2 linked regions of the Stegostoma tigrinum genome follow. The protein of the gene in region 2 interacts with the protein of the main gene of each other region in a pairwise test. Links are inferred from orthologs where the notes say so. Each region holds a gene or a part of one and is shown on either strand. Other genes may lie near its edges.

Region 1 (7,641 bases), on a different chromosome or scaffold from region 2:
TTTTGACAAACATTCTTCATGGGTTATTGCATCATAACAATCATCCTTCATAAGGACAGGACCCATTTAATATCAGGAATTTCAAAAAAAGTAATAAAAACCAAACAAACATTCTTCTACAGCAGGAAGCTACATACACATCTTGCTAAATATGCCCAACTGTGGTTGGGCAAAAACAAGATGGCCAACAAAATTGCTGATTCAACACTTTGATAGGAGCAAAATCTTTAGATCTAAAGTCAGGAATATTCTTCAGTCAAAACATTGGAATTCCAATGTTTTGAGTTGAAATTTGTTTCCTATTCACAGAAAAAGGGCAGAACAGGAGGAGGAAACAAGCTTCCAGTACAACTGCTGGACACAAAACTGCGCCAATACACACCAAAAACAACCAACTTGGAAGGATATCAAAGGCAGTGCTTTCTTAAAAAAAACAAACACCAAAACTCCTGTATTATGTAGTCCAATTAGAAACTGTTTCCAGCAGTGGGGTCCTTTTAAGTCTACAGACTATGCCTGCACTTTTAGCATGGTCTTCAACTGAAAGGTCATTTCACTGTGATCAGATGACTCCAAGGGCACACGTACCCAATGGCTTGGAGGCTTGGGTAGTACACTTGGTGATGGTGGCTCACTGAACTTGGCTCCAGCATAATTTTGATCAGACTGCAACCTAAACAGTGTGCTCGAGCTGCTCAGAACTGCCTCCCAACTCTGATTGTTTGCAGTAAAGTGCATAACATTCTTTCCTTCTTTCTGCACAACCTGACATGTTTCAGAAATAAATTGATATCGTCCATGTCCCTTCTCGCCTTTCTTGTGCATTGTTTTCATGTGATAGAGATTATCATCCTTGTTCTTTTGTCTGCTGCTGTTTAAGTGCAGGTTTCTCTTTGGAGTCCCATGGTTTGGTTGGGATATTGGGATGTTTAATCTTTCGACACCTCCCATTTTTCTCCAAAGAAACTATCACCTGTAAAATTAGAAGAAAAATGGTCAATTCTAATTCCAACTCTTGAACGTGCACCAAAATGTTTAGAAATTAAAATGGGTACTTAAAAGGGTGAACCAATACCACAACATTTCAGTTTGGGGCCAGGCCTAACTTTTTTTGCATTTGTTAAAATAACTACTTGCAACAATGCGACTGCTTTTGGAGTACTAGCTGCAACAGCTATACGTTAACCACATGCTAGGACACTATCACTGCAGTTGCAAACAGTAAAAATAATGTCACTATGGTCACTTTTCAGAAAGCCTTTCCATTGTTTTACAAGAATTACTCCTTTAGTCACCCAGTGTTTAGATGCAACTAACAGAAACCTCTGGGTTTTAATGATTCAGCTGTAACTTTATTTAAAAAAAATTGTGTCCTTCCGGCTGACAACGCACGACCCGTGAAACAAGGTGAGGAAGACTTACAACCACTGGATTTGAGAGACAGTTAAAGGATGTAAAATGGATTAAAGATAATAAAATGTGAGGCTGGATGAACACAGCAGGCCAAGCAGCATCTCAGGAGCACAAAAACTGACGTTTCGGGCCTAGACCCTTCATCAGAGAGGATGAAAATGGATTAAAAACGTGTTTTGAAATACACTACCAAGTTCAGAGGAGTCCAACTGCAATTCTAAAGGTAAGATCGCCCAGCTACAAACGTTAATATTTCTGAAACACTGAATAGGAATATGAACGTGAACAAATTGAAGAAATACGATATTTCTCCCACGACATCCATATCCCGTGAAAGACCGAAGGCCACTAAGGAATGAACTGCGGATGTTGTAAAATGTAACTATCTTAACTGATTATTTTCCACTCTGATTTAACAGCTAGTCAAGCTCTAGAAAAGATTGCAACCAAGAATCGGAGTCAAGAGATTAATAACTTTTTAAAAGCAGGAACGTTTTTAAAAGTTTGTTCAGTCTTTGCCGACGTGCAGGAGTCTCTCTTTTCCCCCCAAGACACCAACCTCTTCGTCGAAAAATCCCAAAACTTGTCGATCTTCTCGTCCAAAGCTTTCTGGAAACTTCGACGCCAGGTTATAAGGAAATTCTCACTTTTGGTGAATCTTGGTGATTTTCCCCAAGTAGGAATTTGCATCAGCAGAACTCCGACAGAAGATGGTGCAGCCAAGCACAACATGGGTCTGCTCGGCACACACGGTTCCGTACAGTTCACACCCTTCAGAAGCAATAAGAAAGAAAGAGCTCAGAAAACAAAACACTGACCAAAAAGTAACAAAGTGGAGGAAATTTTCGACCAAGAATCCAATTTTAAAAACTACTGGTAAACTGTGTACAGTTTTAGACCTTCCCCTCCCCCTTTTTGCTACGGAATTTCCTGATCACGGGACTAGAAAACGGCCATTTAACAACATCAGCGCATTTTTTCCAAGCCTTCGGGGGGGTGGTAGGTATTTGAGCCCAACACAATTTGGTCTGAGCCCCTACTTGACAAGTTTCTAGGTACTACTCGCACTGAGGTAAGCCAGGCGGCAAGAAATTTTCCCCGATCGAGAGAAACAGGTCGGGAAGGAGGGGCAAGAGAGAGCGCAAACAAAAGACAGAGCCTAGTTTGGGGGAGGGGAGAGAGAAAGAAAGAAAGAGGATCATTAACAACAGCTCCCCCCACGCTGACCCTTCCAGGCTCGGACTCTCGCGTACTTGGTACTTACACAGGGCCCGGCGCTATCTAAATTGAAAATCCGCACACAGAACTACGTTCCCGGTCACTCTCTGCCCACAGCTGCTCCACCCCCTCGATGTAGCAGAAAATGGAATCCGGAGACAAGTAGCCGCCTGGCAGCCAATCAGAAATGCTTCAGCTCCGACTCGCTACACAATCCTGGCCAATCGGAGTGCAAATAACTACCAACGGATACTTCACCCTGACCAATCAGCTCTCGAGCCACTGATGGAGACACCGCAGTGGCCAATCCGTTTCTATGCCGCCCCACGGGCTGGAGCAGTAGCCGCTGACATTTCGGGTTTATGTTTGGTTTTTGTTATTGTCGCTGGTACCGTCAGGCTATTCCATGTGCCCTTTGATGTAGTTTGCTTCCTTTTCACCGTCCAAGATGGCTGCTCTCCTTATTGAACGAGTGTGGGCCCTTTTTTTAACGTTTAATCTCATTGGGTGGTTTAAAATTGGAACAGCATCTCATTAAATCGCCACCAATCAGCGGAAACCGCAAACGTTGAATACACGTTAGACGTGAGTTGCAAGACTGGAACATTCCCCCTGGTATTTACTGTCGCTTAGGAGGAAACTGAGCTTGCACCTTACAGTCGTTTTCATATCCTCAGCATAGCCCAGTACTACTGTAAAAGCAGAAATTGCTGGAAATGCTTAATAGGGTTGGCAGCATCTGTGAAGAAAAAAATTCCGAGTTCTCGTCTCGGTTCCGGTGACCATTCCTCGGAACACCGGACCCGCAATGTTAATTGATTTTTTTTTCACAGATGCTGCCAGACCTTTCCAACAATTTCTGTTTTTGTTCCAGTACCTATTGTTTGTTGCAGTGTACTATCGTGGTTGCGAAGTCAATTACTATCGCCGTAGTAAAAATTAGAATGTCCAAAAACAAGATACTTGCTAACGTTGTATCAGAGATAATGGGAACTGCAGATGCTGGAGAATCCAAGTTAATAAAGTGTGGAGCTGGATGTACACAGCAGGCAAAGCAGCATCCCAGGAGCACAAAAGCTGACGTTTCGGGCCTAGACCCTTCATCAGAGAGGGTCTAGGCCCGAAACGTCAGCTTTTGTGCTCCTGAGATGCTGCTTGGCCTGCTGTGTTCATCCAGCTCCACACTTTATTTACTCGCTAATGTTTATTCATTATATTGTTGCACAATTACACAAACAGTCTAATATTTGTTTCTCCATTGCATTGCGTTGTCGCTGTCCTTTTTTTTCCATTTTTAAAAGAACTGCCCAAATGCCACCCTAAATGCTGATCCAGTATTTAAAGATAATCAGTGCTCACTTCACTGATAATTTGTAACCAAAAATGTACAGACGCTTAGTTACACCGCACCTGCAGTATTGTGTACAGTTTTGGATCTCCTTACTCTCTCATTGGGGAGACCAAGCGGAGAGAACTATCAGTGGTGCAAGGTGGATATCTGACAGCGAAGGAAGGAATATAAAAGAAATATCTCTTTCAGACAGTAGGAACAGTCGATGCTGGAGTCTGAGATAACAGGGTGTGGAACTGGAGGAATACAGCGGGCCAAGCAGCATTAGAGGAGCAGGAAAGCTGTTGTTTCAGGTTTGGACCCTTAAGAAATGGGAGATGGGCCTCTGAAATAAATAGAGGTGCAGTGAAAGAAGGTGGATAGTGGAGCTGATAGGTGGGAGAGAAGACGGACAGGTCAAGGAGGTGGAGATGAAGCTAGTAAAGGTGAGTGTAGATGGGAAGTGGGGATGGGGTTGGTCAGTGAGGAGGGAGAAGCGGATAGGTGGGAGAGAAGATGGACAGATCAAGGAGGCGGGGATGGGGGGGTTAGTTTTGGGATGAGGTTGGGGGTGGGGAGATTTAGAAGCTCATAAAGTCCACATTGAGACCATTGGGTTGGAGGGTTCCAAGGCGGAATATGAGGTGCTGTTCCCCGAGTTTCCGGGTGGTACCCTTGAGACACTGGAGGAGGCCCAGGATGGACATGTCGTCCAAGGAGTGGGAGGAGGAGTTGAAGTCGTTCACGACTGGGAGGTGTTGTCGTATGTTGCGAACCAAGCATTGGTGCTCCACAAAGTGGTCGCCGAGCCTCTGCTTGGTCTCCCCGATGTACAGGAGGCCACTTTGGGAACAGTGGATACAATAGACCACATTAACGGATATGCAGGTGAACATCTGTTTCATGTGGAAGGTTTTTTTGGGGCCTGGGATGGAGGTAAGGGGGCAGGTATAGGGGCAGGTGTAGCACCTCCAAGCCCCACCACCCCTGGCACCCCCCACTAGCCCCACCACCCCGGCCCCATTATAAAGGATATGTTTTCCTCCCCATCCTTATCTGCCTTCTGGAGGGATCGCTCTCTCCGCATCTGTCCCCACTCCCCACCAGCCCCACCACCCCCAGCACCTTTCCCTGTAACCACAGGAAGTGCTACACCTGTCCCTACACCTTCCCCCTCAGCCCCATCTCAGGCCCCCAGAAAACCTTCCACATTAAACAGATGTTCACCAGCGTATCTGCTAATGTGGTCTATTGTATCCACTGTTCCCGATGTGGCCTCCTCTACATCGGGGAGACCAAGCGGAGGCTCGGAGACCGCTTTGTACAGCACCTATGCTTAGTTCGCGACAAACAACAACACCTCCCAGTTGCGAACCACTTCAACTCCCCTTCCCATTCCCCGGCCGACATGTCCATCCTGGGCCTCCTCCAGTGTCTGAATGATGCCACCGGTAAACTGGAGGAGCAGCACCTCATATTCCATCCTCAGTCTTTCATTCACTGGCTGAAAATTCACCTTTTCAGTCTCACTGATGCTAATTTCCCTTTCCCTTCCCACTGCGTATATCCAGAGAGATCAGCTGACAAAAGAAGTATGGGGAAGAATTTTCTGAAGAAGGGTCCAGGCCCGAAATGTCAGTTTTCCTGCTCCTTTGACGCTGCTTGGCCTGCTGTGTTCATTAAGCTCTGCACCTTCTTATCTCAGATTCTCCAGCATCTGCAGGTCCTGCTTTCTCTGAAGAAGAACAGTTGGTTGTTAGCAGTTTTATTTTCCATGCCCACAACAAAAGGGAGAGAAAGAGAGTTGGTTACTTTCTTTTTGCAGGTTAATTGTTTCTCCTGCACATACATACATGTGGCAAGAGTCTCTTGAACCAGTCAAGAGTTTATTACTGTGCTGGGCCCTCATAAACCCAACACAACTGGTGCCAATTGAGAAGCCATTCCAAAATTGTCCCTAGGCAGAGTTGCCTTGACATATAGATGGTGCCAATTTAGTTAGACCTTTGCCTCACCGCTCCACCAAAATAATATACTATATTACCCTCAACGTGTTACCAATTATTTTTGTTTCCTTGGTTTAAAGCAATGGGACCAGGAGTTGGCCATACAGCCCTTCGAGACTGCTCCAACATTCAATAAGATCAGTGGTCTAACTCTGTATACCTGCCTTCGCGGCCCATATCCCTGTATTATAGAATCCCTACTGTGTGGACACAAGCCGTTCAGCCCAAGAAGTCTGCATCGACTTTCCAAAGTGTATCCCATACTGACTCACCACTCTACCCTCTCACCCTGCATTTCCCATGGATAATGCATTCATTGCTGGACACTATGCGCGATTTAGCATGGCCAATCCACCTAACCTGCATATATTTGGACTCTTGGAGGAAACCCACGCTGACACAGGGAGAACGTGCAAACTCCATACAAACTGTCGCCCGAGGCTGGAATCGAACCCAGGCCCCTGGTGCCGCCATGCTATTTACTAAAAATTTGTCTATCTCAGATTTAAACTTAACAATTGAATTAGCATTGACCGCCATTTGAGAAAGAGTGCTTTCTGACATCTTTCCTGAATGGCCTGACCCTAATTTTTTGACTATGCCCCTTGGCTCTAGAATCTTCAACCAGTGGAAATAGTTTACCTTTATCTACTCTATCTTTCCCTGTTAATATCCTGAAGACCTCAACTAGATCACCCCTTCTAAATTCTAGACAATAAAGGCCTCATTTGTCTAAGCTCTACTCATAACTTAAATCCTATAGTCCAGGTCCTGTCCTTGTAAACCTACATTGAACTCCCTCCAGGGGCCAAACCTGATGCCCAGATCTGCTCACAGCACTCTGGATTGGGGTCTAACCAGGGTTTTATATAACTGCAGCATAACATCTACATGCCTATTGTCAAGCCTTTATGAATGAAGGCCATCATTCCATTAGTGTCTTGATTACCGTCTACATCTGGACAAGCCCCAGGCTCAGAGCCCAAGGGCTGCCTATTCCACTGCTGCCATCTTAGTATATTTGGAGAGAGCGAGAAACAGAGAATTCTGGGAAGATTTCTACCAATGCACGCATTATCTTTATAACAATCTGAGATGCAAACCATCAGGTTTAGGGGACTCATCAGTCTTGGGCCCCATTAGTTTCCCCAGTTCTTTTTCTTTTTCTTTTTCTTTTTTTTTCCTCCAGTGATAGTTGTTGTACTTACTTCCTCTTCTTCCTTTGCTCCTTGATTTTATTTAGTAATTTTGGAATACCATTAGTAACTTCTACTGTAAAAAAACTGTAGCAAAGTATGTATCCATCTCTGTTATTTCCTGGTTCCCACTTTTATTTCCTCAGTTTTGTTCTCTAAGTGACGTACATTCAATTTGACCTCGCTTCTTTTGTTTTGTGTATTTTAAAAGATCCACTCAATAGCTGTTGTACCAAGGTAGAACTTCATTCCAAAATTTCATAGCTTGATTTTTTTTAAGTTTGGTTTGATCAACGAAGAGACCTTGGGGTGAAGGTTCACAGTTCCTTGAAAGTGGAGTCCCAGGTAGACATGGTAGCAAAGAAGGCATTTGGTACACCTGCATTTATTAGTCACTGCATTGAGTGTAGGAGTTGGGAGATCAAGCTTCGGCTGTACAGGACACTGGTTAGGCCACTTTTGGAATACTGTGTGCAAT
Region 2 (7,546 bases):
GCTATCTAAAGTAGTTTTGAAACTTTTTTGGGTATATAAAACTCAAATCTTTGGAGCTTAGGAATGAATTATTTTAAATGCTTACTGGAACAAATTGAAAAAACCAACGCTCTGAATTGCATACTTGCCTAAAGCAGACTGAATGAAAATGAAATAGCTGTACTAAATCGAATTTGAAAAGAGGTAGTCATTTTACGCATGTCTCCTCAGTTGAGTTATCCAATACTGTTGCAAGGAGGAAAAAAAAATGCAAACACTGAGATGGCACAGCATGGCTTACTGCTGTTTGAATTGAAATCCAAAGTATGAATCATTGAGTTTCACTGATGTAAAACTTGGTATTTTATTCACACTGGGTAACAAGCTGCCTCGAGAATTGATTGCCCGTGCCTATTCAAAATGTATCAACATTTCAACGCTCTCATCATTTTCCTGAGTAGCTGAACAGGACAATTAATACATTTGATATTTTCTGGGTTATCTGAGGTCTAAACATGATATAATAAGGTGTCACAAAGAGTATGTAACCAAATTAATAAATGCTGCAGCCTTTGCCCAGTAAAACTGTAAAGGCTTGTTTGACTTTCGTGATTAAAATAAGCATAAATTATGTACCAAGTTGAGATTTATCTTCTGAACTCCTGAAATGTTGTGTTTGTATCTTGTACAAAACTATTTGTTAAAAACACATTGTAATTTACAAGTTAGACGAAGTATAATATATGAGTGAGTAGAATAACTCAAAACAATACATGGATCTTTAATAATACTCAGGTACAAAGGCACGGTTTTAGTTATCTGCATGAGAATTCACAGACTGGACAAGTGGACAACACTGGCATTGAGCCTCAAGTGAAGCTAGACATATAGTTGTTCTGAAATGTCTTATCTGTGCAACCTGCTGGGATTAGTTTAACAGTAAAGCCAATTATAGCACTTGCCAGTGCGCCAGCTATCTCCAACCTCCTCCCCCTCTCATATACACACTTTTATGTCTGCAAACTGCCCTAAAGTGTGCAATGAGCCTTTCCTCTTGTTTTCCAGAAAGAATAGTACAAATTAATCCAAGAGAACTCTGTGATTCAGCAGCATGTTAAAGTAGGCAAAGGCCCACTCCATTTGTGGAGCTGTGACCACATGATTGATTGGACAGGTGTCATTCATACTAATGTTAAAATCTGACAGTGCTGATCTGTAAGGCTCTACCGACTAATACAGTCTGAAGCCAGTTACATCACTCCATATGGGTACAGTAAAGAGGCCACCGCAACAAAGCATTGCGTCCTGCTCGTGCCACAACAGCTTGTGCGGTCATTTAAGGAAATGCCATTTTGTCACAAAACAGCTAAATCTGACTCACTGTACCACCCTTTAACGTATCTTATATCAGTTTACATTTTGCTTGTACTTGATGTGACACTTGATAACGGATGAACAGGTATTTCAATATAAACACAGTAGTGAGAGAAAGAGCCATTAGGAATCAACTTTCTTTTTGTGTCACTTGAAGTCCAGGGAAGGAGAAGCAAAGGAAGATGCAATAACTGAGCATCAAGCCAGTGAGATTGTTCATGTCGGAGTCACATTATCAAACACACGTGAAGTATGATTGGGGACACAGGGGGTAAATATTTCACTGCCAGACAGCATTGAAAGCTGCAATTCATTTCTCTCTTGGTTTAGGACAATGACAATTTAATACAAGGCGAGTGAATGTAAAAGAGATAATATTGCACAAACTGCTTCAGTGTAATCGGCTATTTCCTCTGGAGAGCTTAACCACAGTGGCACAGAGACACATTCAGCAGATCAAAAATATATTGTTATTCCTCAGACTTTGCAATTAAAATATTATAGCTAGCCTTCTGCAGGTCTATAATGTTTAGTGAATATAAAGACTTGTTAAAAATAGCTTTGGTAGGAAATGGAATCCGGAGTTGCAAAGGTTTTTTTTACTGCAGGTTAATTACTGTAGCATAGGAGGCTCTGACAACAAAAGAGTGCCGGAAAATACATTTAAATGAACACACTAAACAGCCGTATTCGCTGTAAATGCAAGGTTGTCATTATGTACATCCTGCATCTCTGACCTCTTGCAATATTTAAAGCTCAGTGCAAATATGCAAAAACAGCCGTACAGCAGAAACATAACTCCGAAATGTTAAGATGTGTAGGTATTTTCATACAGGTTTGTGACGTTCGTCCTATACCGAGCCTGTTGCTGACTTGAACAGGGGCAATCATTTAAAGAGATGAATGATACAATGAAAAGTGAAAGAACTTGAGACAAGTTGTCAGCTAACTGAGATCAAGGAACAGCTTATTTTCCCCGTCCCCTTTTTTTTGCTGCAAGCTGTCACAGTTAAAAAATCCCTTCTTAGATTCAAAAACAAAGACCATGTGAATGAATTTCATTCCAATGCAACTACATTAAGCAGATTATATTTTTTAAAAATCATACAAATTAGCTTTTAGACCAAAAAAATCAAGAAAGCATTTTTAAAGTCCTTGCTTCCTTAAAAATAATCATTCAAAATTTCTGTATAATAGATTCAGAAAATACATATTGCATTTGACAATACAGCCCTCGTCCATTCCTTTGGCTTTCTCACATCTTTGGCTAAATTACAAATAGCTGCACAATATGCAATAACAGTAGACTGCTTCTGGGAATCTGGAGATAATTCAGAGAACATCCGTTGCACAGACAGAGTGGGACATAATTCTGGCACAAAACATGCAAGCAAGCAGCACAGACACACAGGGACATACACATATACATCAAACCCTTACAACCCTACAAAACAAACAGCCCAGAATGGGAATAAAAAGGTACCTACTCTTCGTCGTAGTGGAGAGAAAAAGATTCAGGGAGACAAAGTTCTACCAAATCCATGTGCGCTCAGCACCATTATTCGAGCCCACACTCCTGGCAATAAATCAAAGTTCCCTGACAGAGTGGCGCAATTAACACAAATGTTCTCTGGTGACAGCCTATAGGCAAAGCCAGCTGGGACCAGACTCGCACTCTCCTAATCAAGGTCTTAAAGTCCCGATTGTAGCTTATTAATATGAAGCAGGTCTTTACATATGCAATCCCCGACCTCACCAGTCAGCGCATTGGTGGGATTGCAGCCACTCAGAGTAAAGCACTGCAGACAGGACAATTCCTACACTGGCTTAGGGAAGCAATGCAGGTACAGTAGGCGGGAAGTCTCTAAACTGGGAGGAGGGAAGCAAAATTCCACAGCCTTGTACAGTGCAGCGTTTAAAACACAGTTTTCCATCCGTCTGAAAATACAGTTTTCAAAACAGGCTTGAAGGGACAATTATCCATTTGCTTCTTTGAGAAGTTACAGTAAATAGAATTGACTGTGCTAACATAATATATTTTACTACAAATCTGTCACAATTATTTGATCTGTATTTTCAAAACCCTTGTACAGTAGAAAAACTGTCTTGATGTAAATTTACAGAATGCATTACTGCAAGTCATTTTAGCATCCTTTCATGTAAAATAGACAAAAGGGTTTTTAACTTCATTTAAAGCTGAACGGTCTTTCCCAAAAATCATAACTGTATAGCTTTGCTCAAAGCTGTTTATAGGCAAGCACAGTCCTCTCTTTTTCTTAAATGATTAAAATCTATATTCAAAATGCACCATAATCTGAAAGCTGCTCTGAAAGGGCTCACTTGTATTTTTACCTTTTCAAAATTTATCAGTCTACATTGGCTAATAGTTTTACAAATTAACCAGCTACATTACTTACATATTTTCAAAATTTCCCAAAGTGATTTTTTTTCTTTCTCGCAAATTCAGAAGAAAACTGACGAATCACATTTAGGGAAAAATCACACCTTCCTATCCAACTTGAAACTAAAGATTCACTAAAAGTAAGATGATAAATGCTTCCCCTGTACAAACACCAATATCTTTACTGTGTTGACATGAATTGCTTGCTACAGAGCAATACGACAATCTGGCTTGAAGCAATTGTAGAAAGGCTAACCGGCGTCAAACCCATTGCAAGAACTGTTCTGAAATACAGCTCCTCCAATCAGGGTCTCCTTCAAGTGATGCGAGCTCCAACAGCTGGCTGTCTCCCTGCATTCCGTTAACCCAATGTAAACCCTTTTTACCGTCCAAAAGCAAAGCTGCCTCAGAATTGCTTCTGATGTCAAATTAACCATTCTGCAGGCACAATTATGCTGGCAACTGCATTTTTTGCAAGTGTTTCCTAAAGTGTTTGTTAATCACTCAATGCAAGTTAAAAATATTTAACAAAGAAGAATTCTCTCCAAGTACTGTATAGATAATGATCACATTCAGTTGAGATTTCATCAGTATACAATTTCATTGCATCCAGATTTTAGAAATGAACTGTCCACATATATTTGCCATGTATCATAGACCAAATGCTTGCTCCCTAATAACTGTTGTTATAATTCACAGATTTGTCTAACGAAACAGAAAATGTATTTGGAAACAAAACTTCTGCACTTTTTATGTTTTTAATTTTCATACTTCTTTTTATCTTACAATTTAAATTCAACTTATCCAAAATTCAAACCAAACACTGTGATTTAATATCATCATCCACATTAAAAAATGCCATTTGAAAACAGCATTCACTGGTCAATTTGGAAGTTTCTGGCATTGTAGGCAATTGAAGTATGGTCCTTTTCCCAGATTTTCACAGCCAAGATACACAAACTCTCCTCACACTACATTTATAGCTAGCTCTTCAGATAAAACACCGCATGATTGTACAAGCTCCTTTGACTTTCAAATCACCCAAGTGAACATTTTAAATAGAAATGTGATGTTTATTCTATTTTCCACATATCCCTTTAAAAAACTGTTGTATATATATAATGACAAAACATCTTTTTTTCATCCTTTCTGATTACAAACAGGAGGAGCAACCATGCACCTAGCTCCATCAATTGCACATGACCAGACTTTGATATTGTTATATGCTGTCCTGACAGTACATACCAACAATCTACTTCATCTCTGATGTGCTGCTTAGAAGAAATGTTATCATGTGCAATGGCCTGGATCATGTGGTATTGACCACCTCGACACATTTCATATTTATTTGTGTCGAATTCAGCTTTTTGGTGGGACTGTGTCAACTGGCCAGTGTGTACAAACAGAACCTGCAGAATCTGCTTCGGCACAGACCCAGCCACTTTGTACTTGTTAACGTGAGAATTCTGCATCCTTTCTGAACACAAGCTTTACATTAACCCAATGTTTGGCAATAAGCACAGAAGCAAGCATAAGCAATCTGCTGTGTATTCATATACAGAATACATTTCTTCATAAAGCCAGTGTAAACATGTCATTGTTCAATGGAACGACAATGTAAGTAGTCTAATGACCACACAATGTCTACCATGTAAAAATGCCTCACTTTTATGGAGACAGGGTTCACAAAGAATCTTAGCAATACGTGCACTAACAGAAAAGGGCACCCTAAAAACTATTACTGAACCATGCTGCATATCTTTCTGACGCACTGATAAAAGTATCAACAGAAAATTTCCACCCTCCCAAACAAAATGACATTTCTATAAGGAAAGTGGTGGCATTTGCTGGTATATTTGTTCCAATTAATATTAGTATTTCACATTTGTCTAATTCTTACATCCAACCAGGCAGAACACTCATTAATTGTGGGAAGTAGATCACAAATTGCATGAAAATGGTACCACACTCACAAAATCAGAATATTAATTTCTAAATTAATTCAGATTAATATCAACTGCTCTATTAATGACCAATCCACGTCTCAGCACAACTATGTTAACCCATAAAGTACTGGTGCCACTTTAAAATATTAACTTCATGCAGTACTCTTTATGCACTAATGATCTGTAAATTCAAAAATCTAATATGGAGCGTAGCATTAAAATGCACTAATCACCCAATTTAAAAACTTATGCTCAAATGGATATAAGTATTGTGCTTTGCTTTGCCCTTTTAATTCTGGTTATTTTTGCCATGCTGTAAGGTTTACAATAGTCACAGGTGTCTTCTTATGTGAACCATAAATGCAAAAATGTTCAAAACAATTTTGAAGAGTACTGTCTTAACAAGCTAATATTGTAAACTAGAATACTGCAATGAAGTAATAGTGAATCAATAAGGACCTTGAAGTACTGAATTACATTTAGTGAAACTTATAATAGGTCAATTTCTTTTATTACTGAAAAACGGACGAGGAAAATATCAACCAATCAGCTTGTCAATGCTAGAAATAATCCAAATGCATTCCTTATAGGTGTCCTATTAACATGCCCTTAAAAGTATGTGAGAAGACGAGGATCATAAACACAAATTATACAGGTCAACGCAAATCAAACAATTAATAAGAATTGAGGTACCTTTGGCTGCCAGGTGATAAATTGAGTTTTACTGTGTATTTGCATCATTTTGTTCCTTACCTTTTGTCTTTACATACATTTTAACATTGGAAGGCAGACTTTATTTTGAACAATTTCTTACTGCCATCCTCATCAGCAGGAGTTGTAAGTATTTAGGTGTAGGAAACGAACTAAAACGCAAACAATATTGACCTGATGTCTAAAACCATGCTTTTCAAAAGTGCTTGCTGAATGTTTTGTAATCACTGGCTCAGAGGAATGTTTCTACTGACTACAGAATGTACCCAAAACAATCTTCAGATGGATTTTTTGCATCGCCTTGAATTTTACATTGACATCTACTTTGCAATCCCAATATTTTAATCAGAATGTTTCTGTATTTATAGCACCATTTAAGAAGTTATAAATCTTTTTAATAATCACTTTCAAGTAATTCTTATTTAATTATCCCATGTTTCCTACAATAAACAGTCGTGCCAGTTATTTTGACCAAGAAGGTCTGGGTATAGTTTTATTTCATATCAGCAGTAGCAGAAGACATTTCAGGAATGTGTTATTTAACTGATCAGTAGCTTCAACACTGGTCGTTAAAATATCTGGCTATTCCATTTTTGACAATAGAGGGCAGTGATGACTCTATGCTTCCTTCCAGAAAGCACAATGAATATCCACAATGCTCTTAATCTGCAACTACAGGCTTTGCCAACATGCATTTACTTTCAGAAAGAAGAGGAAATTAAAGAAAGGCTACATGCAGTTATAGAGTTTGCTCCAGAAATGCACATTGTTGCCCAATTCATAAGAACAACAGATAAAATAATCTCCATGTGATCAGACAATTCAATTGTCACATTGAAGAGAAGGTAGCAGGTCTCAGGCACCCTACTATTTTGATATGTTAATAGATCTTCTTGGCCTGTGGGTGGTCTGCTTTTGATGCTATTAAAAACTTCAACACTAAATCAAGCGATGAGTATATTCAGGGAAATAGATTCAAAATGTTCACCCCATTTAAACCCTATGATAGTATTCATACAGTGGAAAAATAATTTACATATGTTCAAGGAAAAAAATGTACAACATTCTTTAGTTTGGATCTGTTTAGGACTATGATTGTTTAATATCCAACATGGACAGAAAGGGATTCCAGGAA

Evidence for each region. The genes of interacting proteins can lie anywhere in the genome.
Region 1: the proteins of esrrga (region 2) and pnrc2 interact in binary tests that used the Homo sapiens proteins (3 or more experiments, as listed by UniProt). The link is inferred for Stegostoma tigrinum from reciprocal best matches to the Homo sapiens genes ESRRG and PNRC2.

Annotation. Positions count from the first base shown.
Region 1 is NC_081377.1:44,979,966-44,987,606, forward strand, and holds the start of pnrc2 (proline-rich nuclear receptor coactivator 2), read right to left. Parts: upstream 3,084-7,641; 5' UTR 2,678-3,083; intron 2,185-2,677; 5' UTR 1,973-2,184; intron 974-1,972; 5' UTR 952-973; coding exon 511-951; 3' UTR 1-510. UniProt on the Homo sapiens protein: Involved in nonsense-mediated mRNA decay (NMD) by acting as a bridge between the mRNA decapping complex and the NMD machinery. May act by targeting the NMD machinery to the P-body and recruiting the decapping machinery to aberrant mRNAs.
Region 2 is NC_081362.1:58,972,079-58,979,624, forward strand, and holds the start of esrrga (estrogen-related receptor gamma a), read right to left. Parts: upstream 3,084-7,546; 5' UTR 2,897-3,083; coding exon 2,841-2,896; intron 1-2,840. UniProt on the Homo sapiens protein: Orphan receptor that acts as a transcription activator in the absence of bound ligand. Binds specifically to an estrogen response element and activates reporter genes controlled by estrogen response elements.